Linked DNA regions of Lonchura striata. The main gene of each other region encodes a partner of the protein of the gene in region 3 in a complex. Links are inferred from orthologs where the notes say so. Each region holds a gene or a part of one and is shown on either strand. Other genes may lie near its edges.

What was found.
Region 1: the proteins of GNAT1 (region 3) and PDE6G are in contact, whole or in part, in a cryo-EM structure (PDB 7JSN), measured with the Bos taurus proteins. The link is inferred for Lonchura striata from reciprocal best matches to the Homo sapiens genes GNAT1 and PDE6G. Residues at the interface, in NP_851365.1 of Bos taurus: Ser140, Arg201, Arg204, Lys205, Trp207, Ile208, Phe211, Asp227, Val229, Glu235, Val236, Asn237, His240, Glu241, His244, Leu245, Ser248, Ile249, Ile281, Phe283, Glu305, Leu306, Met308; in NP_776846.1 of Bos taurus: Arg36, Gln37, Phe38, Lys39, Ser40, Lys41, Pro42, Pro43, Lys45, Leu60, Val66, Ile67, Cys68, Pro69, Trp70, Glu71, Phe73, Asn74, His75, Leu76, Glu77, Leu78.
Region 2: the proteins of GNAT1 (region 3) and UNC119 are in contact, whole or in part, in a crystal structure (PDB 3RBQ), measured with the Homo sapiens proteins. The link is inferred for Lonchura striata from reciprocal best matches to the Homo sapiens genes GNAT1 and UNC119. Residues at the interface, in NP_000163.2 of Homo sapiens: Gly2, Ala3, Gly4, Ala5, Ser6, Ala7, Glu8; in NP_005139.1 of Homo sapiens: Asp87, Phe88, Val89, Arg90, Phe91, Ile105, Lys106, Lys107, Gly126, Arg127, Phe128, Val129, Tyr131, Phe137, Val147, Glu163, Leu172, Ser218, Tyr220, Asn230.

What each region holds. Positions count from the first base shown.
Region 1 is NC_134621.1:11,088,668-11,094,300, reverse strand, and holds PDE6G (retinal rod rhodopsin-sensitive cGMP 3',5'-cyclic phosphodiesterase subunit gamma), read right to left. Parts: upstream 1,040-5,633; coding exon 894-1,039; intron 819-893; coding exon 778-818; intron 693-777; coding exon 616-692; 3' UTR 506-615; downstream 1-505. Other genes in the region: TSPAN10 (tetraspanin-10), read left to right, coding at 1-264; OXLD1 (oxidoreductase-like domain-containing protein 1), read right to left, coding at 3,311-3,670, 4,245-4,280; CCDC137 (coiled-coil domain-containing protein 137), read left to right, coding at 4,439-4,731, 5,047-5,174, 5,332-5,542.
Region 2 is NC_134622.1:7,364,384-7,371,413, reverse strand, and holds the start of UNC119 (protein unc-119 homolog A), read left to right. Parts: upstream 1-3,992; 5' UTR 3,993-4,056; coding exon 4,057-4,174; intron 4,175-7,030. Other genes in the region: GPI-anchor transamidase component PIGS, read left to right, coding at 1-19, 460-549, 686-777, 897-1,095, 1,369-1,511, 1,604-1,718, 1,889-2,034, 2,145-2,245 and 2 more. UniProt on the Homo sapiens protein: Involved in synaptic functions in photoreceptor cells, the signal transduction in immune cells as a Src family kinase activator, endosome recycling, the uptake of bacteria and endocytosis, protein trafficking in sensory neurons and as lipid-binding chaperone with specificity for a diverse subset of myristoylated proteins.
Region 3 is NC_134614.1:10,258,881-10,266,123, reverse strand, and holds the start of GNAT1 (guanine nucleotide-binding protein G(t) subunit alpha-1), read right to left. Parts: upstream 3,033-7,243; coding exon 2,927-3,032; intron 1,483-2,926; coding exon 1,440-1,482; intron 1,234-1,439; coding exon 1,092-1,233; intron 1,021-1,091; coding exon 863-1,020; intron 779-862; coding exon 650-778; intron 569-649; coding exon 439-568; intron 354-438; coding exon 200-353; intron 1-199. UniProt on the Homo sapiens protein: Functions as a signal transducer for the rod photoreceptor RHO. Required for normal RHO-mediated light perception by the retina.

The DNA.
Region 1 (5,633 bases), on a different chromosome or scaffold from region 3:
GGCTCCGTGCCCGATGCCCGGTGCGGGTTCGGGGCGCTGGCACCGGGCGTGGCGGCCGGGGCCCTGCTGCACACCGGGGGCTGCGGGGCCGCGCTGGCCGCCTGGCTGCGGGGCCAGGCCGGGGCCATCGCCGCCGGCGCCACCGCCCTGGTGCTGCTGGAGGCCGTGGGAGCCCTCCTGGCTCTGAGGGTGCTCGGGGAGGTGACGGCCGTGAGGGCACCGCAGGGATTGGGATGTGCACGGGGCGGGTTTGGTCCCAAATAAACCTTGTTGGAAATACTGAACCCCTCTGCGTCTCGTCTGTGCCACCGTCATCGCCGTGGGTGCTGCTGCTGAGGGTGTGCAGGGACAGTGCAGCTGTCTGGGTGGGGATTTGGGGGTGTCTGGGGTGCTGGTCCACCCCAAATAAACCTTGTCAGAATCCTGAACCCGCTGGTGTCCTGCCCGTCCCACCCCAGGCCCTGGGGAGCCGCTTTCCCTCCTCGCCAGCTCACAACATTGACTCCTGTGCTCATTAGGGTTTAATGAGGATTTTTCCAAACTGAGCCCCCTGACAGCATGGGCAGGGGGGCCTCGACCTACATAGCACTACAGGGCTGGTGAGCTGCCCAAATCCTAAATGATTCCGTACTGAGCCAGCTCGTGCAGCTCCAGGTGGCTGAAGGCTTCCCAGGGACAGATGACGGTGATGTCTGCAGAGAGAGAGGACAGAGCTTGTGGCAATGTGAGCCCTCCCCAGCCCTGCTCCCCGCTGCCACAGGGATGCCATTCCCATACCTGTTCCCAGCCCCTCCATGCCCGGGATGTCATCACCAAACCTGCAAGGAGAGAGGAATTGTCTGGCCTGACCCCAGGCAGGGCCCACCCCCTTCCCGGGGCCCTTCCCCACTCACCCCTGCACCCCCTTTTTGGGGGGTTTGCTCTTGAACTGCCTCGTCTGCCTCTGCTTGAACTTGGGGGGTCCCTTGCGGGGGGTGGCAGGACCCCCGCTCACCCTCGTGGCCGATTTGACCTCCAGCTTGGGAGGCTCCAGGCTCATGGCTGGGGGGAGGCTGACAGCCCCGGGGCTCTCACGGCGTTCCCCCAGAGCTCACGGTGTTCCCCTGGAGCTCACGGTGTTCCCTGTGGATCACAGTGTTCCCCGGAGCTCACGGTGTCCACTGCGGATCACGGTGTCCTGCAGAGCTCACAGTGTTCCCTGGAGCTCACGGTGTTCCCTGTGGATCACGGTGTCCCCCTGGAGCTCACGGTGTCCCCCAGAGCTTATAGTGTCCCCTGTGGATCACAGTGTTCCCTGGAGCTCACAGTGTCCCCCTGTGGATCACGGTGTTCCCTGTGGGTCACGGTGTCCCGTGAAGCTCACGGTATTCCCTGTGGGTCACGGTGTCCCCCTGGAGCTCACGGTATTCTCTGTGGATCACGGTGTCCCGTGAAGCTCACGGTGTTCCCTATGGGTCACGGTGTCCTGTGGAGCTCACGGTGTTCCCTGTGGATCACGGTGTCCTGTGGCGCTCACGGTATTCCCTGTGGATCACGGTGTCCCCCGGAGCTCACGGCGTTCCCTGCGGATCAGCGCTGCCACGGGACAGCTCCTCACCCCCCTGGTGGGAAATGGGGCCACCAGCTTCTCCTCCACCCGCCCCAGGTGGGCTCTGCAGAGCCCCCTCCCCACAAGGCTGGCTCAGCCTGACCCCCCAAAGGCGGGAAGGGCACCCCGAGGTGCTGCTGCTCCTCCCTCCTGTTCCCCATCCCACCTGGGACCCCTCGGGCACTGCCAGGACCCTGCAGGGTGTGCCCAGGTCTGTGTGGGGGTGTGGTGGGTACCCCGGGCTGGGAAGGGGGAGCAGGGATGGCCCCTAGCACCAGGAGTGGGAATTTTGTGGCCAGAGCCCCGCTCTGGGATGGGTTTGGGGGATCTGGCCCTGCTGCAGAGCAGGACACGGCCCTGGGAATTAGGATCTGAGGCAGGGAGGTGCTCCTGGATGTTCCTGGGCGCAGGAGGAGCAGCAAACGACCCCAGGTCCCCTCCCGGAGAGCCCCGACTCACGGAGTGCCGCGATTCCCGATCCCAGAGCTGCTCCCTCCGCCCGGCCCGGCTCCCTCCAGCCCAGAGATGCTCCGGGACTTTGTGGGGAGGGAGATTTATCCTGCCCGGGGGTAATAGGATTATTTACCTCCCTGCTTTCCCCAGGGGTAATCCCGTGTCCTTCCCCTGCTCTGGGGGGGGGAGGAGGTGTCAGGATTAGCTCTGCCCGTGCCGGTGGGCAGCGGATCCCACGTGGGGGAATCCTGCTTCCCATTCCCAAAGAGATTCCCCCAGTGTCCCCTGATCCCAGAGGGAGCAATGGGACCCCCATTCCAGGCTCCAGCCCAGCCTGGGTGGGGGTCCTGATACCAGAGAGGGTCCAGCAGCCCCTGCTCGTGGCTGGTGTTGCTCCAAAGCTTCCCTAATCCAGCAGTAAAGCAATTAAAAATGGACTAATCTCGGCACACTTTAATTGAACTTCAGCCCCTACCACTAATTGCAATTAGTTGGGCTCCAACAAATAGGATTAAAGGGATCCAGGAGCGTTTTCCATGGAGAAACACCTACTTCTCTGGCAGAGAGCAGAGCCTGGCTGTTAATTGGGGTTCATTAGTGACACCCGAGGGCTGGGTGGCTTCCTGGGGACTTTGTCCTGGGATGACGTGCAGGGGTCTGTGTGGGTCTCAACAGCTGCGAGTCCCCCGGGATTGGAGGGGGGAATTTGGGACAAGTTTCTGGGGATTGAAGACGGAGGCAGAAAAGGCACCTTGCAGAGCAGCCCGGCAGGATGTGACACCAGGGACAGGGCCGGTGTCCTTGACAGGAGGCTGCTGCTGCCCACGTGCTCAGTGCCACACGCTGCCCTCCAAGCCCCCACGGAGAGGCCCCTAAGAGGCTTTGTGGTGCCAGTGGGGAGGGGTCTGGCACAGCCCTCCCCATCACCAGGGCATGGCCAAGGTGCTGAAAATCTCCCCAAGGTGCTTAAATTCCAGCTGGGAGCACAGGAGGAGGAGGGCTGGGGGGCCGCCCAGCCTGCCCTTGGCAGGGATTTGCCATGCTGGGGAGGGCACAGCATCCAGCTCCTGGGAAATCCGGGGCTCAGGACAGCCCTGAGTCACCGCCTGTCCCCAAGGACAGCTCCCTGTGAGACAGGAGGTGACCTGGCCTCGTGTGACACCCCCGGGATGCCGTGCTCAGCACACAGCAAACACTACAGACAACCCAGGCCCGGATCCTGCCACCCCAGGGGTGTCCCCCCCCGGGGCTGGGGAGCCCGGGGGAGGCTCAGTCCTTCCTGGCACGCAGCCTGATCTCCATCCTGAGGATCATCTTGATGTTCTCGTCCTCCACGTGCTGCTCCACGGCCGCCAAGGCCTGGGCGCCGCCGTCCCGGTGCCGCTCCAGCAGCTCCTCCACGTATCCCACCCAGACGCAGTTGGGGCAGCCGGTCCCGCAGCAGTGGGTGGGCGGGGGGGGCATCGGGGGCGCTGCAGGAGGGTCCCCCCTGTCCCCATGAGGGGTGGCTGTCCTGCTGTCCCTTCCCGGCGTGCCCGAGGTGCCCCCGGCCTCTGCTGCGGTGTCCGAGCGCTGCCGGGGGCTGCAGGCGGTGGTGGGCTGGGGGGTCCCCCTGGGGCCGCCTGGGGGCTGCAGGAACCGAGACCCCCGTGCTGGTGCCAGCCTGGGGGGCACGGCGGGGCTGCTGCACCCCCAGCTCAGCCACAGGAACCCCTGCTCCCAGGGTACCCCCACTGCCACCTCCAGCACTGCCCTGTCCCCTTCCAGCACCCCAATTCCTGCCCCCCACCCCATTCCCTGCTCCCAGTGTACCCCCAGTGTCAGCACTGCACAATCCCCCTTCCAGCACCCCAATTCCTGCCCCCCACCCCATTCCCTGCTCCCAGTGTATTCCCACTGTCAGCACTGCCCTGTCCCCTTCCAGCACCCCAATTCCTGCCCCCCACCCCATTCCCTGCACCCCCATCCCCATCCCCCTTGTTTTCTCCACATCCCCCAGCCCCAAAGCCCCCCTTGTCCCCTCATGTCCCCCACATCCCCCCTCGTCCCCCGCCATCCCCAGCACCCCCCCTGACGCCCCAGTACCCTCACGTCCCCCGGTCCTCGCTCACATCTCACGCCCAGCACCTCTTTGCCCCTCCCGAGGACTCCCCCCGTGTTCCCCGTGTCCCCCGTGTCCCCCCGTGTTCCCGGTCCCGCTCACCCCCCGGCGCGGCCCCGCCAGCCCCCGCAGCAGCATCCGGCCGCAGCGCCCTGGCCCCGCCCCCGCCTCGACTGACAGCTCTCACAGCCAATGGCAGCCCGGCGCGCTCAGCTGCGCGGGAGTGGCGGGGAAGGCGGGGCCAATAAGCAGCAGGGGGCGGGGCCGGGAGCCGGAAGTGGCGGCGGAACGGGCACATGAGGGGTGGCGGAGCCATGGCCCGGGGACCGGCCCGGGGCCCGCGGCGAAAACCGGGACCGGGACCGAAACAGGGACAGAGACCGGGACAGGGACAGAGACCGGGACCGGGACCGAAACAGGGACAGAGACCGGGACCGAAACAGGGACAGAGACCGGGACCGGGACAGAAACCGGCCCGGGGACCGGGACAGAAAGCGAGACCGGGACTAGGACAGGGACGGAAAGCGGGGCCGGGACAGAAAGCGGGGCCGAGATCGGAGCATGGCCCGGGCGTCCCGCTGCGCAGCAGGTCAGTGCCCGCGGGATCCACTCGGGGCCGCTCCCGGTTGGGACCCGCACCCACGCGCGGGGGCCCTGGCGGGGGTCCCGCTCTCGGCGTCTGCGTCCCGGTCTCTGCCCGTGCCCCGGTGCCGATGCCTGCCCGTGCTGACTCCGATGCCTCGGTCCCGGTGTTCAGCCATGCCCAAGTCTCAGTTTTCCACCGTGCTCAAATCCCAGCATCCTTCCGTACCTGGATCCCGCTGTCCCGGTGCCTGGGTCCCGCTGTCCCGGTCTCCAGGTTGTGGCGCTTCCCTGGAGTCCTCTGACTGTGCTTTTTCCTCAGGAAGGAGAAGAAGGACAACATGAAGCCCAAGCACCCCGAGGAGCAGGAGATCCCGTTCCGCCTGCGGGAGCTCATGCGGAGCCGCGAGGCCCTGAAGCGCCCGGAGCCTGGCAGGAGGCAGGCGGCAGGTGGGACCCGCAGGTGGCCCGAGCAGGTGGCCAGGAGCCTGTGGCATGGCCAGATCCTGCCGTGGGACATCCTCTGGTGACGTCCCACCCGTGCTCTGCCAGCCGGGAGGGACCCCCGCCGTGTCACCGCTGCAGAAATGTCACCCGTCTCTCCTAGAGAAGAAGCAGCAGCAGAAGTCCAAGGGCCCCAAGGCCCCGGGGGACATCCCCGTGCCCAGGTTCCGGAGGGGCCGGGGCGAGTCGGAGCGTTCCTACATCTGCCGCATGGAGCAGGAGGTGCAGCGCGTCCTCTTCCTCGCGGAGAACCAGCTCCAGAGGGAGCCTGAGAAGGAGGCAACAGCTCCAGAGAAGTCCAAAAGGAAAAAAGAGTGAGAGCAAGGCCCTGGGGCCACCCCATACCTGTGGCCTGTCCGCTTGCCCAGTTCTGCAGGGCACGTCTGGGGTGCAGGCGGGGGGACA
Region 2 (7,030 bases), on a different chromosome or scaffold from region 3:
AACCGTGAGAGACCCCCTTGTGTGTCCCTGCCCCGTCTATTCCTTATGAGTGCCTGCATCCTTTCGTGGGGGTCCCTGCCTGTGGCTTCAGTCACCGGCAGCCCGGAGCTCCCGGGACCCCGAGCCCCATTCACCAGCATCACCCTGTCCTGAGCTGGCAGTGCTGGGAGCAGGGACTGGCACAACGAGGTCCCGGGGTGCTGCAGGGAAGAGACCAGCTCCATCGCCTGGGGATGGGGATGATGCAGCCCTCAGAGGCTGGGATGTGTCTGGCTGGTGTGGGGCTGTCTCACTACCAGTGTGGACCAGTGATGCTACATCCCATAGTGCTTCATCTCACTGGCACCCAAAGGACCTCGCGCCATGTGTCCTCCTGGGGTTGTGCCTTGTCCCTGTGAGCACCAGGCTCCTGTGAGGGGCCCGAGATCAGCAGATTCACTCGGGTTGTTTGCCCCACAGTGAGAACCAGCATCACGTCTCGCTATGAGATGCGCTATCGCAGCACCACGGCTCAGGAGGAGGCAGCACTGGCTGCGGCGACTGCACGAGGTATTGGAGCAGGGAATTGCTGGGGAGCTCCTTTTCCTGAGGCTGGCAGAGCAGAAAACACACTTTGCTTTCTGTCAGAGTGAGACAGGGATTGGAGTGAAATTCCCACCCCTGCCAGTGCTTCCATCTTCCCCAGAGGCTGATGCTGCTCTGTACCTGCTGCAGGACACCACCTTGGGCTCTCTGACCATGTATGTGGTCCCTGAAACCTCTTCTCTCCTGCCTCAGGTAGGGAGCAGCACCCTGTGGTGCCAGCCTTTACATGCTTCACCCCTGGGAGGTGGCACAGGTGGCACTGTGCTGTTCTCAGGGCTCTGCTCCCAGCCCTCACCCTGTGCCACCCCCAGGGCATCAACGCGTACGTGGGGAAGCACCGCAGCGCCCTGGTGAGGGCTGGGGGGAGCCTGGCTGCCCTGCAGGCCCGGCTGCGGGAGGTGACACAGGTGATGTCCTTCACGGCCAGCTCCATCGCCGCCGTCCTCTCGGACCGTGTGCCCGACGGTCAGCTCAGCTTCGACGCACGGCGGAACCTGAAATCCAGCCTGGGTATGGATGTGCTCTCCATCCCTGTTCCCTGGCCTTGGGAAAGCCATCTGCTCCTGGGGAAGTGCCATTCCTGCTCTGCTTGTGGAACCCCTGGGTGTCTTCTGGGCTAACAGATCCCTTGGTCTGTAGCTGTTGTTCTGGGTCAGGGTTGGGCTGCGATTGCTGTGTTAGTGTCACCTCACACTGGGGTGGGCCAGGGAGGAGGGGACAGGCCCTGCTGCTCTTGGGAGCTCTGTCACAGCCTCAGTGGCTCACAGCTATGGGTCCTTGCAGGGTATGAGATCACCTTCAGTCTGCTGAACCCTGACCCCAAGTCCCACACCGTGGACTGGGACATTGAGGGGGCTGTGAACCGCTTCGTGAAGCCTGTCCTGGACAAACTGAGCTTGGTGGCCAACTTTTCTGTGGATTCACAGGTGAGGGCTGGGAGAGATGGCAGGGAAAGCCCAGACCTGACCTCTCTGGGATGCTCTTCTTTGCCAGCAATGTGTCCCTTGTGTGCCTGCAGATCCTGTACTACGCCGTCCTAGGAGTGACACCACGCTATGACAAGGAGTCCTCCAGCTTCCTCCTGAGTGCTCACAGCCTCCCACATGTCATCAACCCCGTGGAGGCCCGTCTGGGTGAGCACTGTGCTCGTGGCTCACTGGGATCTGTCTCATGGGACCATGGCTCCTTTTCCCCCCAGCCCATGTGAGAGCTGCTGGGGTGGCTGTGAAGGAGGAGCTGAGCTGTGGGCTGCTCTCGCTGTTCCTGCCAGCCACAAGAGTTCTGTGACTCTGTCCTACTGCAGGCTCCAGTGCTGCCTCACTCTATCCCGTGCTGAACTTCCTGCTGTATGTGCCAGAGCGCTCCCACTCCCCTCTGTACATTCAGGACAAGGATGGAGCCCTAGTGAGCACCAACGCCTTCCACAGCCCTCGCTGGGGTGGGATCATGGTATGGGAACCATGGGGGCGCTGGCAGTGCTGGGACAAGGTGGTGGCTCCCCATTCCCACCTGTTGGCCCTGAGGCCCTGGCTATGCCTCATTAACACGCATTCCTGCAGGTTTACAACGTTGAAGCCCCTGCTTCCCCCCAAGCCTCTCTCCCTCTACATGTGGATGTGGACATGGCACGAGTGATGGAGGTTTTCCTGGCCCAGCTCCGGTGAGGATGTGTTCTTCCCTCCCCAGGCCTCTGTGGAAATCAGCGGGGTCAGAACAGGCTGTACCCAAACAGCTTGTTCACTCCCTGGGCTCTGGGAGGCTGAGGGTGGCTCTTTGTGGCCTTCGAGGTATTGGCTACTAGCCATCACTGCTCTGTGGCCAGGGATGCTGGCACATCTCTCATCTCCTCAAGTAGGAGGCTTGGCTTATCATGCCACACTTCCAGGAGACAATTTGGCAGGAATGGGACTAAACACAACAGGGAAGGAGAGCAAGGAGCTAATGGAAATGAAGGCTTCTGATGTGGGCTGGGATCATCCCTTCTACTCCCAGGTTACTCTTTGGGCTGTCTTGGGAAGAGGTGCCCCCCGAGTTCCTGCTGGAAAGCCCAGGGAATGAGGGGCTGGCTGACTGGGAGCTGGACCACCTGCTGTGGGCCCACACCGTGGAGAACATCGCCACTGTGTCCACCACCCTGACCTCGCTGGCCCAGCTCCTGGACAAGATTGGGAACATCGTCATCAAGGATGATGTTGCCTCTGAGGTAGGGCTGGGGCACCCTGAGGGGGGGAGCAGAGAGGGCTGAATGTCCCTGCTGCCCTCCCTGGCCAGGGACTGACCCTTGATGTTGTGCCCACACAGGTGTACCGGGCAGTGGCCTCGGTCCAGAGCGCTGTGACCGAGCTGTCCCTGGGCCACCTGCTCGCAGCTTTCCAGGCCAGCAAGGAGGCTGTCACCTCCTCGGAGAGGGCCTTCTTTGATCCATCTCTCCTTCATCTCCTCTACTTCCCTGACGACCAGAAATTTGCCATCTACATCCCGCTCTTCCTGCCCATGGCTGTTCCAATTCTACTATCCCTGGCCAAGATTGTCCGGGAGACCAGGCTGCGTAAGAAGGAGCCCACCAAGATGGACTGAGCCATGGTGCCCTGGCTTGGGGCTGTCCCCACCCTGTGGGATGATGTTGTCACAGACTCATGGCCCAGAAAGGCACCCCAGGGTCCAGGCTTGGCTGCTTGGCTTGGGTGTGCCAGGGCCAGGATGCAGGAGTAGGAAGAGAGGCTGCTTTGGGAGGTGGGAAGGGGTCTCACTTTGGGTGCTGAGCCCTCCTGCACCCACAGGGGCAGAGAGGGGAGGGAGGGTGCTGCCTTTGTGTACCCCCAGCCTGGTGCTGTAATCAGAAGAAGCTGCTGTGTAAATAAAGAACCCCCTGCTCTTTGGGGGGCTGATGTAGGGCTGTGTGAACCTCCTTTAGCCTTCTTGGGGGTACCTGTTGCCCTGCCTTCCCCTGGCCCAGCTTTCATGCCCCCACTCCATTGCTTTATGGGCTCTGGCTCCTGTCTTACGGGTATTTAGCCAAAAATACTTAGTTGGGGAGGGGGGACAGTTCCTGGGGGGGCAGTTCCTGGAGTCCATCCCGACGATGGGTGTGGAGCCCCTGCGAGCAGCCCACCTTAGCGGGGTCCATCGTGTGTCGGTCAGGGTGCTTGGGGCGGGTGTCGCCCTGCTCTGGGCCAGGTGTGGGGTTTGTCCTCACCTCACCCGAGGGGGCTGACCCCCATGGCGGGGGGGGTTCGCAGGAAGGGAGACCCCGGCCTCCTCCAGCAGAAAGGCTTTGCCCTGATCGCCGGGGAACGGCGTGCAGGGGCCGCTCTCCTCCTCCGCCCTCGTTCCTCCCCGTGCCCGCGGAGCCGGGCGGCGCTGCGCGGCCGGGGGCGGGCCGGGGGCGGTGATGGCGATGCCCCTCCCGGTGCGGCGGCGCGCAGCGGGGCCGGGGCCGCTCACACCGGCGGCGGCGGCGGCGGCGGGGCCATGAAGGTGAAGAAGAGCGGCGCGGCCGGGGCGGCGGCGGCCAGGACCGAGGAGGAGCTGGGCCGAAAGGCGCTCATCGGGCCCGACGATGTGCTGGGGCTGCAGCGGGTCACCAGCGGTGCGTGCCGGGGATGGCGCGGGGGGAGGATGGGGACCGTGTCCCTCTGGGGCTTTTCCCGGGGGGAAAAAGGGCAGCCGGTCCTCCTCTCCGAGGGGTCTAAACAGGGGGGAAAAGAGGAGCCGTTCCCCCTTTCAAGGGGGCTAACCCAGAGGGAGAAGGGGAAGCGGTCCCCCCTCCCGGGGGACAAGAAGTGGGGATGCAGCACGGCCGGGGACAGAGCCCGCCTCGGGATGTGCCACCCCGGGGGTTGGGGACCATCGGGAGAACAGGGCAATCAATGCCCGGAGCTGGGGATGCAGCCCCCCAGCTCTGCTCGAAGGTCGGTGTTGGGATGCTCATCACTGTTCTCCCCATCACCCCATTCCCTGTGTCTGCTCCCACCCTGTGCCCACGGCAAGGGGATGGGCCGGATCCCTGGCTACAGCATGGGGGGACTTCGTAGCAGCCCCCCAACCCATTTTCCCCCTCTCCAGTATAACACCCGTGGTCTTGAGGGCATCTTGGGGGCGCTGGGTGGGAGTGTGTGGCTGGAGGGGCTGCTGTGCTTGGCAGAGGAGCTCTGGACAGCAGCACACAGGGCTGGGGAAAGGCCAGGACAGGGGGACATGGCTTCACACTGATAGGGAGCAGGTTTAGATTAGATATTAGGGAGAAATTCTTCCCTGGGAGAGTGGTGGGGCCCTGGCACATTGAAGCTGTGGCTGCTCTGTCCCTGGAAGTGTTCAAGATGAGGTTGGAAGGGGCTTGGAGCAACCTGGGCTGGTGCAAGATATTCCTGCCCCTGGCAGGGGTTTGGAAGCAGACAGTCTTTAAGGTGCCTTCCAATCCAAACCATTCCATGGTACCGCCTGTGCCTCAGGCCTGCCATGGCCAGGAGCAATCTGCCCCGGTGTCCCAAGAAGTCCTTTTTCCATCTCCTAGGACCTTTGGGTGGTCTCTCTGGGCTGTCAGGGCGGAGGGGCTGCCCTGGGGTCTGGCTGTGCTCCCTGTGCCTCACAGCACGCTGGCCTCAAAGCCAGCTCTGTGTCACAGGCTGGGCTGTGACGAGCCCTGGAGAGGAAGGATGCGGCTGTGGGTGCTGGTGCGTGCAGGCAGCCCCGTGGGGCTGCTGTGTGAGCAGGATGGGAGGAGGACAGCCCGGCAGGGACTGGTGGCAGCCCTCAGGAAGGGCTTAGAGGCTCCTCTGAGAGGGGCTGCTATTGCTGTGGACCCTTGGGTGCCCTTCTGCGAGCTGAGGTGCTCTGCTGGTGCAGCTGCGTGATTCACTGCCCAGAAATCCCCTGCCTGTAGCAGGGAGAGCACGCAGCAGGCACTGAAGCATCCTGCCAGCATCCTCAGTTGGATGGTGGATCCCAGCCATGGCCCTGTGAAGCACTGCGTGCTCACTTCATGGCAGCCCCCGTGTCCCTGCCCTCACCAGGGCTGTCTGGAGGGGACAGGGCCACCCCACACCCTTGCTGTCACCTCGTGTGGCATCAGTGGGGATGGATAGTGCCTGTTCTTGGTAAGCTCCTGCCTTCCCAGGGAGCAGGGATTGCTAAGCTGGTGAGCTAGGCTTGGGGCACAGCTGGTTGTCTGCTTCTTCCAAGCCCAGGTCAGAGTGCTCAGGAGCACAGGGAGGATGTGAAATGCATGAAAATGTTGCGTTCCCCTCCTGCTGTGAGACTTGCTGCTACCAGGGGTGCACAGCCAGGCAGTGTGATGATGTCCCAGGCTTACCATGGGAAGTTCTTCCTGTCCTGCTGGATGTGTGGGAGCCAGGAAATGCTCTCCACACCTGAAACCCTGGGTGAGTTTGGGGATACAGGTAAACAACAGTACATACATGTTGAGCATATTGTATATTATCACCCGGTGATAGATACACTTTGCAACTCTCCTTCTCAAGCTCTGCTTTTGTCCTGGGGAGTTCAACAGAAAGCAAAGGATATTTTTCAGATCTTTAACACCTAATGATTATTTGGAGCATTCGATGTCCTTTGCCAATTTCTACACCCTTAAAAACAGATGGCCAAAAGTAGTGATGTGAAACTGTTCCACTCTTCTGCTTTGCTAAAGGGGAGGAAGGACCAGGCTGTGGGAGAGAAGTTCACAGCAACCCCAACCTTTTGGACGTGCTGGGTGTCGGGCAGACACCACACCCTGTTGCAGCAATTCTGTCTTTGACAGGCAGAAGTTGAAGGAGGAATTGGTGGTGGGGCTGCAACAGAAATGTCCTGGTGCCCTGGGTGCCCTTTGTTGTTCCAGAGAGAGGATAATCCATCTTTATTCAAACTCGTGGGCCAGTAGCACTTCAGCTTGCACTGAACTGCACTAAACTGTGGCCTGTCTGGGACCTGGGGAGGGCTGGCTGTGTTTTAGGGTTGCTTCACCAGCCAAAGCCCAGCAGGGCTTGGTGCCACGGGAAGGTGTGTTTCAGGAATGCTCACACCAGGATGTTTCAGGAATGCTCACACCAGGAGCACATGCTGTGTTTCTGAGCAGCATTCCATGTTTCCAGGGAGAGGTGGAGTTCTGGCTGTAGCACAGAATGGTTTGGAGGGGACCTTAAAAACCACCTGATTTAAAAGTGCCTCACCCAGAACAGGAACACGGGAACCTCCCACTAGATGAGGCTGCTCCAAGCCTCATCCAACCTTTCCTCGAGCACTTCCAGGGATGGGGCAGCCACAGCTTCTGTGCCCAGCCCCTGCCAGTGCCTCAGCAGCCTGACAGGAAAGAATTCCTCCCTAATAATCTTTTCCATCAGGCAGCACAGCTGGACTTTACTCTTCCAGTAGGTGCAGCTGACCGAATGTGAGGTGGCTGGGCTGGGAGGGTGGCGAGGAAGGATGTGGCTCTGTGGGCAGCCAC
Region 3 (7,243 bases):
CTGGTGTCCCCCACCAAAATGCCGGCCCAGGATTACCCAGTGCTCCCTCGGGTGGGTAGATTTTGCATGCTCCCGCGACAAGGCGCATGCAGCACCACTTGCATGGGATGCTGAGGACACCTGGTGGGGAACTCCTGCGGGGTGGTGGCACCCAACCTTCCAGCAGCACCCCACCACCACCAGCCACTGCCACACTCACCGTCGTAGTCAGGGAAGCAGATGCTGAGATGGGCCTTTTTGATCTTCTCCAGGAAAACGTCCTTCTTGTTGAGGAAGAGGACGATGGAGGTGGTGGCAAAGTAGCGGTGGTTGCAGATGCTGTTGAAGAGGTGCAGGCTCTCATGCATGCGGTTCTGTGGAGGGACACAGCCTCATGATGGCACCCAAGTCATGACCAGGACAAAGCAGAGGGGGTGTGAGATGGTGAGCATTCCTCACCACTTCATCATCCTCCACCAGGACCATGTCGTAGGCACTGAGAGCCGCGATGAAGATGATGCAGGTCACACCCTCAAAGCAGTGGATCCACTTCTTCCTCTCTGAGCGCTGTCCGCCCACGTCGAACATCCTGGGCAGGACATAGGAGGGTCAGCACCCCCTCCCCCTGCCCACCCCCTGTCACCAGCCCTCACTGGGGGCTGACCCCCACCTGAAGTTGAGGTCCTTGAAGGAGAACTGGGTCTCGATGATGCCAGTTGTCTTGACGCGGGAACGCAGCACGTCCTGCTCTGTGGGGACGTAGCCGGGGGTCACCAGGCGCTCCAGGTCTGACAGGTAGCTGGCCAGGCACGCGGTGGGCATGAGACACGGGTTGGAACGCCCCTCATGCCTCCCCCCCCCACCACGCTCCCTGACCACGTACTAGCCCGCAGAGTCATTGAGCTGGTACTCGGAGGCGCGGTCGAAGCAGGCTTGGATGCCCGAGTCCTTCCAGAGGCGCCCGATGATTTCTGACATCTCCTTAGGCATGGTCCCCTCCTCGATGGTGTCCGAGAGGTGCAGCAGCTTGCGGGCATCGTCCTGTGAGGGAGAGGGGTTCAGTGGGGCCTGGGGACTGTGGGGAACCCTGCCCAACATGGAACACTCCTCACCTGGCGAGCGGTGTCCCCATACTGGATGTTGAGGGTGGTCATGGCCCGCACGATGGCCAGCATGGACTGGAGCGTGTTGCTGTAAATGATAGCAATGAACTCCAGGCATTCCTCCAGCGAGTAACCGTCCTGGTGGATGATCCTGGCCGGGGAAGATCACAGGCGTGGAGCTGAGCTGGGTGCCGTGGAGCTGAGCCACACGGTGGATGCGCCCCATGGCAGTGGCAGGGGGCAGAGTCAGGCACAGTGGGATAGGGCACCCCATGGAGAGGGCACCCCATGGCTGCAGTGTGGGACAGACACTGTGCACGGTGGGCATGATCAAGTGACCCCCCCCATGGCACTTACTTCATCTGCTTGACAATGGTGCTCTTCCCCGACTCCCCTGCTCCTAAGAGGACAAAACATGGGTCATGGTGGTGCCCATGCCATGGGCACTCCCAGCTGAGCCCCGTGCTGGCTCACTGAGAGCCTTGGTGCCTGGCACGGCTGCAGGCACTGTTGGCTGGGCTGGGTCCATGGCTCGGGGTGTGCAGGGGGATTAGCAGCCTGTGCCAGAGGCATTAAGGTTAGGCTGAGCTGCTGTGTCTCATGGGATCTGAAGCAGCTCAGCCAGGGACACTCTCAGGAACCCAAGGGAGGGGTTGGGGACATGGTGGCATTGCAACCCTGCCACCCATCACCCAATGCCCCAAACCTGTGGTTGTGCAGACAGATGCCTCCTGGGCCAGGCTGTGAGGATAGTGATGCCACCCATGGCCCCACCACATACACGGCACCCCAATCCTCAGCCACCACTGGGGACTGGGAAGGACTGGGAGGGACACAAAGCACAAGGGGGCTCCAGGGACAGACATGGGGTGGTGGTATGGGCTGCATAGGGGTCCCTAGGAGGATGGGGCAGGGGTGCTGATGGGCTGGAGTGGTGATAGGTGGAGTTGGTGAAGGCTCTTAAGATGGGTTGGTTGGGGTTAGGGGACCTGGGATTTGGGGGTTGTTAGGTGGGCTGGTTGGGCTGAGGGATATGTGGAAGCCAGGGGATCTTGGGGTGGATCTTAGGACCTCAAGATCTCATCTTCTTGTTGAGATGGTCTGTTGTGTTTGGGGTGCCTGGTAGGGGGTGTTGAGCAAGCTGGGATGAGCTGGTTTAGGGGATCCTGGGAATGGGGGGGGGCTGTTAGGGTGGCTGATTGGGTTTAGGGGTGCCAAATAAGAAAGAAAACGTTGGGTGGGCTTTTTGGATTGACTGGTTTGCTTTAGGGGTGCTGTGGGGGTCAGAGGACTGCTAGAGTGGGATGACTGGGTTTAGGGGTGCTTAGGAGCAGGGGCCTGGGGACTGTTGAAGTGATTTGGTTTAGAGTGGGGTCAGGGAAACTTTGGGTGTTTTACTGGGGAGGGGTTGGTTGTTTTAGGGATGCTTGGGAGTGGGAGGCTGTTGGGGACACTCCTGGGTTGTGCTGGTTTGGTTTAAAGGTGCCAGAGGCATCAGGGAAACATTGGGTGGGCTCTTGAGATGGGGAGGTTTGGTTTAGGGCTGCTGGGAATGGGGTTGATGCTGGGGTAAGCTGCTTGGTTTTAAGAATCCTACGTGAGTCAGGAGAATGTTGAATGAACTGTGAGCGTGGGCTGCTTGGGTTTGGGGGTCCATCTGGGGGGCAGAGGAATGTTGGATTGGCTGGTTGGGTTCGGGGGCAGTTACGGGGTGTGCTGGTGGGGTTGAGGGGTGATGGTTAGGTTGAGGGGCACTGGTAGGTTTCAGGGGCGCGCTGGGTGGGCTGTTAGGGTGAGATGCTCAAAGGATGGGTATGTCCCCCAGGGTGTTGTCTCCCTCTTACCCAGCAGCAGCAGCTTGACAGTCCTGGCGTCTTTCTCAGCATCTTCTTTGAGCTTCTTCTCCAGCTCTCGGGAATGCTTCTCCTCGGCACTGGCCCCGGCTCCCATCCTCAGCCCCGCAGCCCTGCGGTTCACCACCCGCTCCTTGGAGGTCAGCACCAAGATGGGCAACGAGCTCCAGCCTCCGGCCGCCTCCAGCGCTCGCTCCCGGTGCCCGCCGCCGCCGCCGCTGCCGCCCGCCCGGTGTGCGACAAGGACGGGGCCAAGGTCCCGGGGCTGCCTGCCGGGGGGCTGTGCTCAGCACCCGGGGCTTAAGCTGGGCCCCCCCGATAAACCCCCTTCAATCTGCGGCGGGCTGAGCTCAGCAATCCCGTGGCTCCCGCTGTCAGCACTTCTGCCGGGGGGGTGCCCCGGCCCGACCAGCCCCAGCTTTGCCTCCACCCTGGGGCCGGGGCGGTGACCCGGCCACCCTGCGGGAAATGGGACCCAGACCCATCTCCAGCTCTGCTGTGGACTCCAGGGGTATGGAACTGGGGCGTGGGATGGTGTGTCTGCTGGGATCTGGTCAGAGTGGGAGCAAATGCCCCATTGTCCCCATCTCACCTGGTCACACCCCCTGCTCTGAACCAGTGCCCACTAAGTAAGCCATGCCAGTGTCTCCATGAGCACTGCCCACAGTGATGGAATGTCAGGCTCAGTCACAAGACCCTGTGTCCCCAGGGACCCTTCCAGAACCCTCCACTAATGTCCCCATGCCCCCCGGGTGCACTCAGTGTGCCTGCCCAGCCACCCTCCAGTACACTCCCAGTGCCACAGGCCAGCTCAGTGTCACCTCCACAGCGTTCCCAGGCCCCCCAGCAACACCTGCACGATGTCCCCAGGGATACCCACACACCCTCCTCAGGGTTTCCAAAGCCCCTCTTAGTAACACTCCCCAGTGACTACGGAAGAAATCCCAGTGACCGTGAGCAGTCACAAAACACCCTGTCCTACATCCAGGGACACTGCAGTGCCACCTCTGTGCGCCACCCCAACCGCAGTGAGCCCCCAACAATGTCTCTGGGTCCCTCAGTGTGCCTTCCCAGTGTCCCCTCAATGTCCCCAGTGCTCCCCATTGCCACTGCGGCCACCACAGCAAAACTGAGACTCCCAAGGAGCATGGCAGTAACTCCCCGGTGTTCCCCCAGCTCGGTGAGTCCAGGCCTTGCCAGGACTGCCCCAGTGACCCCAGTACAGCCCAGTGTCCCTGTGTCACACAGCCCAGTGTCCCTGTGTCCCTGTGTCCCGTGTCCCGTTTGTCCCCAGCGCTCCCTCCCCGCGCCGCGGCTCTCCTGCAGTGCCCCGCTCGGCCGCCAGAGGGCGAAAGCGCCCAGTGCAGCTCCCAGCGGAGCCCAGTACAGCCCAGTACAGCCCAGTACAGACAGTACAGACAGTACAGACCAGTACAGCCAGTACAGACCAGTACAGCCCAGTACAGACAGTACAGACCAGTACAGCCCAGTACAGACCAGTACAGACAGTACAGACCAGTACAGCCCAGTACAGACCAGTACAGCTCAGTACAGACAGTACAGACAGTACAGCCCAGTACAGCCCAGTACAGACAGTACAGACAGTACAGACAGTACAGCCCAGTACAGCCCAGTACAGACAGTACAGACCAGTACAGCCCAGTACAGACCAGTACAGACAGTACAGACCAGTACAGCCCAGTACAGACCAGTACAGCCCAGTACAGACCAGTACAGACCAGTACAGACCAGTACAGCCCAGTACAGACCAGTACAGCTCAGTACAGACAGTACAGACAGTACAGCCCAGTACAGCCCAGTACAGACAGTACAGACAGTACAGACAGTACAGCCCAGTACAGCCCAGTACAGACAGTACAGACCAGTACAGCCCAGTACAGACCAGTACAGACAGTACAGACCAGTACAGCCCAGTACAGACCAGTACAGCCCAGTACAGACCAGTACAGACCAGTACAGACCAGTACAGCCCAGTACAGACCAGTACAGCTCAGTACAGACAGTACAGACAGTACAGCCCAGTACAGCCCAGTACAGCCCAGTACAGACAGTACAGACAGTACAGCCCAGTACAGTCCAGTACAGCCCAGTACAGACCAGCACAGCCCAGTACAGACCAGTACAGTCCAGTACAGACCAGTACAGACCAGTACAGCCCAGTACAGACAGTACAGCCCAGTACAGACCAGTACAGCCCAGTACAGCCCAGTACAGCCCAGTACAGGCCAGTACAGACCAGTACAGACCAGTGCAGACGAGTACAGCCCAGTACAGACCAGTACAGCCCAGTACAGCCCAGTACAGACAGTACAGTCCACTACAGACCAGTACAGCCCAGTACAGCCCAGTACAGCCCAGTACAGCCCAGTACAGGCCAGTACAGACCAGTACAGACCAGTGCAGACGAGTACAGACCAGTACAGCCCAGTACAGCCCAGTACAGACAGTACAGACAGTACAGCCCAGTACAGCCCAGTACAGCCCAGTACACACCAGTACAGCCCAGTACAGACAGTACAGCCCAGTACAGACCAGTGCAGACCAGTGCAGACCAGTACAGACCAGTACAGCCCAGTACAGTCCACTACAGACCAGTACAGCCCAGTACAGCCCAGTACAGACCAGTACAGCCCAGTACAGGCCAATAGAGACCAGTACAGACCAGTGCAGACGAGTACAGCCCAGTACAGACCAGTACAGCCCAGTACAGACCAGTGCAGACCAGTACAGCCCACTACAGCCCAGTACAGCCCAGCACAGCTCCCAGTACACACCAGTACAGCCCAGTGCCCCCAGTACAGCCATGCACACCCCCACTACTCACACCAGTGACTCTCCAGACTCGACAGAGGAGCACAGTATCACCTCCATTACCCCAAAACTGAAGAGAGTGCCCTGCTACAGCCCAGTATTTCCCACTACAGCCCCAGCCACCCCTACAGATCCATTACCACTTCCCTACCACTACTCCCAGTGCCACCAAGTACCAGCTCCTACTACCAAATCCTAATGCCTCAGAACTTCTAGTCCTCCCAGTACCAAACTCCAGTGTGCCCAGTACAACCTTGGATACAGCCCAGGCCCTTTCAGAACTGACCCCAGTACCTCCTGGGACTACTCAGAGGAGCTTGGTACAGCCCCCATATCAAAGTGCTCCCAGCATCATCCACTACCACCCCCAGTGCCCTCTGTAGTTCCTCCCCTGCTCCATGCCCCCAGTACCACCAAGTACCAACTCCCACCACTATATCCTAATATCCAGTACTTGCCCCAGGGTGCCCAGCGCTTCCCTGTGCCCGCAGGAGTGACTCTGAGTGCTCCCTGTGCCTTCAGCAACACGCAGCGGTGGGGCAGCCACCAGCCCAGCCCATGTACCCCCACACCCAGCAGCAGCATCCCCACAGACTGTCCTGCCCCCACACCAGGGACCCACTGCCCCCCGGGGCAGGGCAAGCACCCCGGCAGGGCTCAGGGCATCTCCTGGTGGGGACCAGGTCTGTCCCCGACAGAGCACACACAGGTCTGTCCCAAAGCCAGTGTTTATTTGGGAGTGCCCCTAGCTGCAGCAGGGGGCACTCACTCAGCCCTGGTCACCCCTGTGTTCCCCATGTACAACTATTTACAGCCCTCCACACCCGTCGGGGTGGCTGATGGGCTGGGTGCCCCAAAGACCTCTGGGTGCCGCTGTCACCAAGCACCAGCTTGAGGATTTACACCAGCATGGCCCCTTCTCCTTCCCTTCTCCATCCAAAGACCCTGGGGCCAAGACCCCACTATTGGCTGAACACCTCGGTCCTACCTTGAGGTCCCATCCCACCCCTGCCAAGCCCCCAGGGAGGGGACAGAGCTGTGTACCCTTGGCCCTCCTCCTCAGCTTGCCTGGTGGTCTACAGCTTCCCTACAGAAAGCACTTGCTCTTCCATAACCCTGTGGGGAAACTGAGGCACAAAACTATGATGGCCATGCCCAGCTTGCAGTGGGCAGCCCTTGTTTGGCACTGCCTGTCCCATGCCTCACCCCCCTGCCCTGCCCAGGGCATCTTCCCCTCCCTCACAAGGACATCCATGCCCCAGCACGGTGCCATGCCCCAGCTGTGAGAGGGGCTGTGTTGACCCATGGTTCCTGCACAACAGGACTAGGGGGTCCTTGGCAGGGGGGACGACAGCGATGGTGACTGCAGCCACCTCAAGGGTCCCTGCTCCTCCCCAGAGGTCCTTGCTCCTCCCTGGAGCTGGGGGTACACCACCCCAGTGACTACGTACAGCCTACAAATAAATACCACCTCCC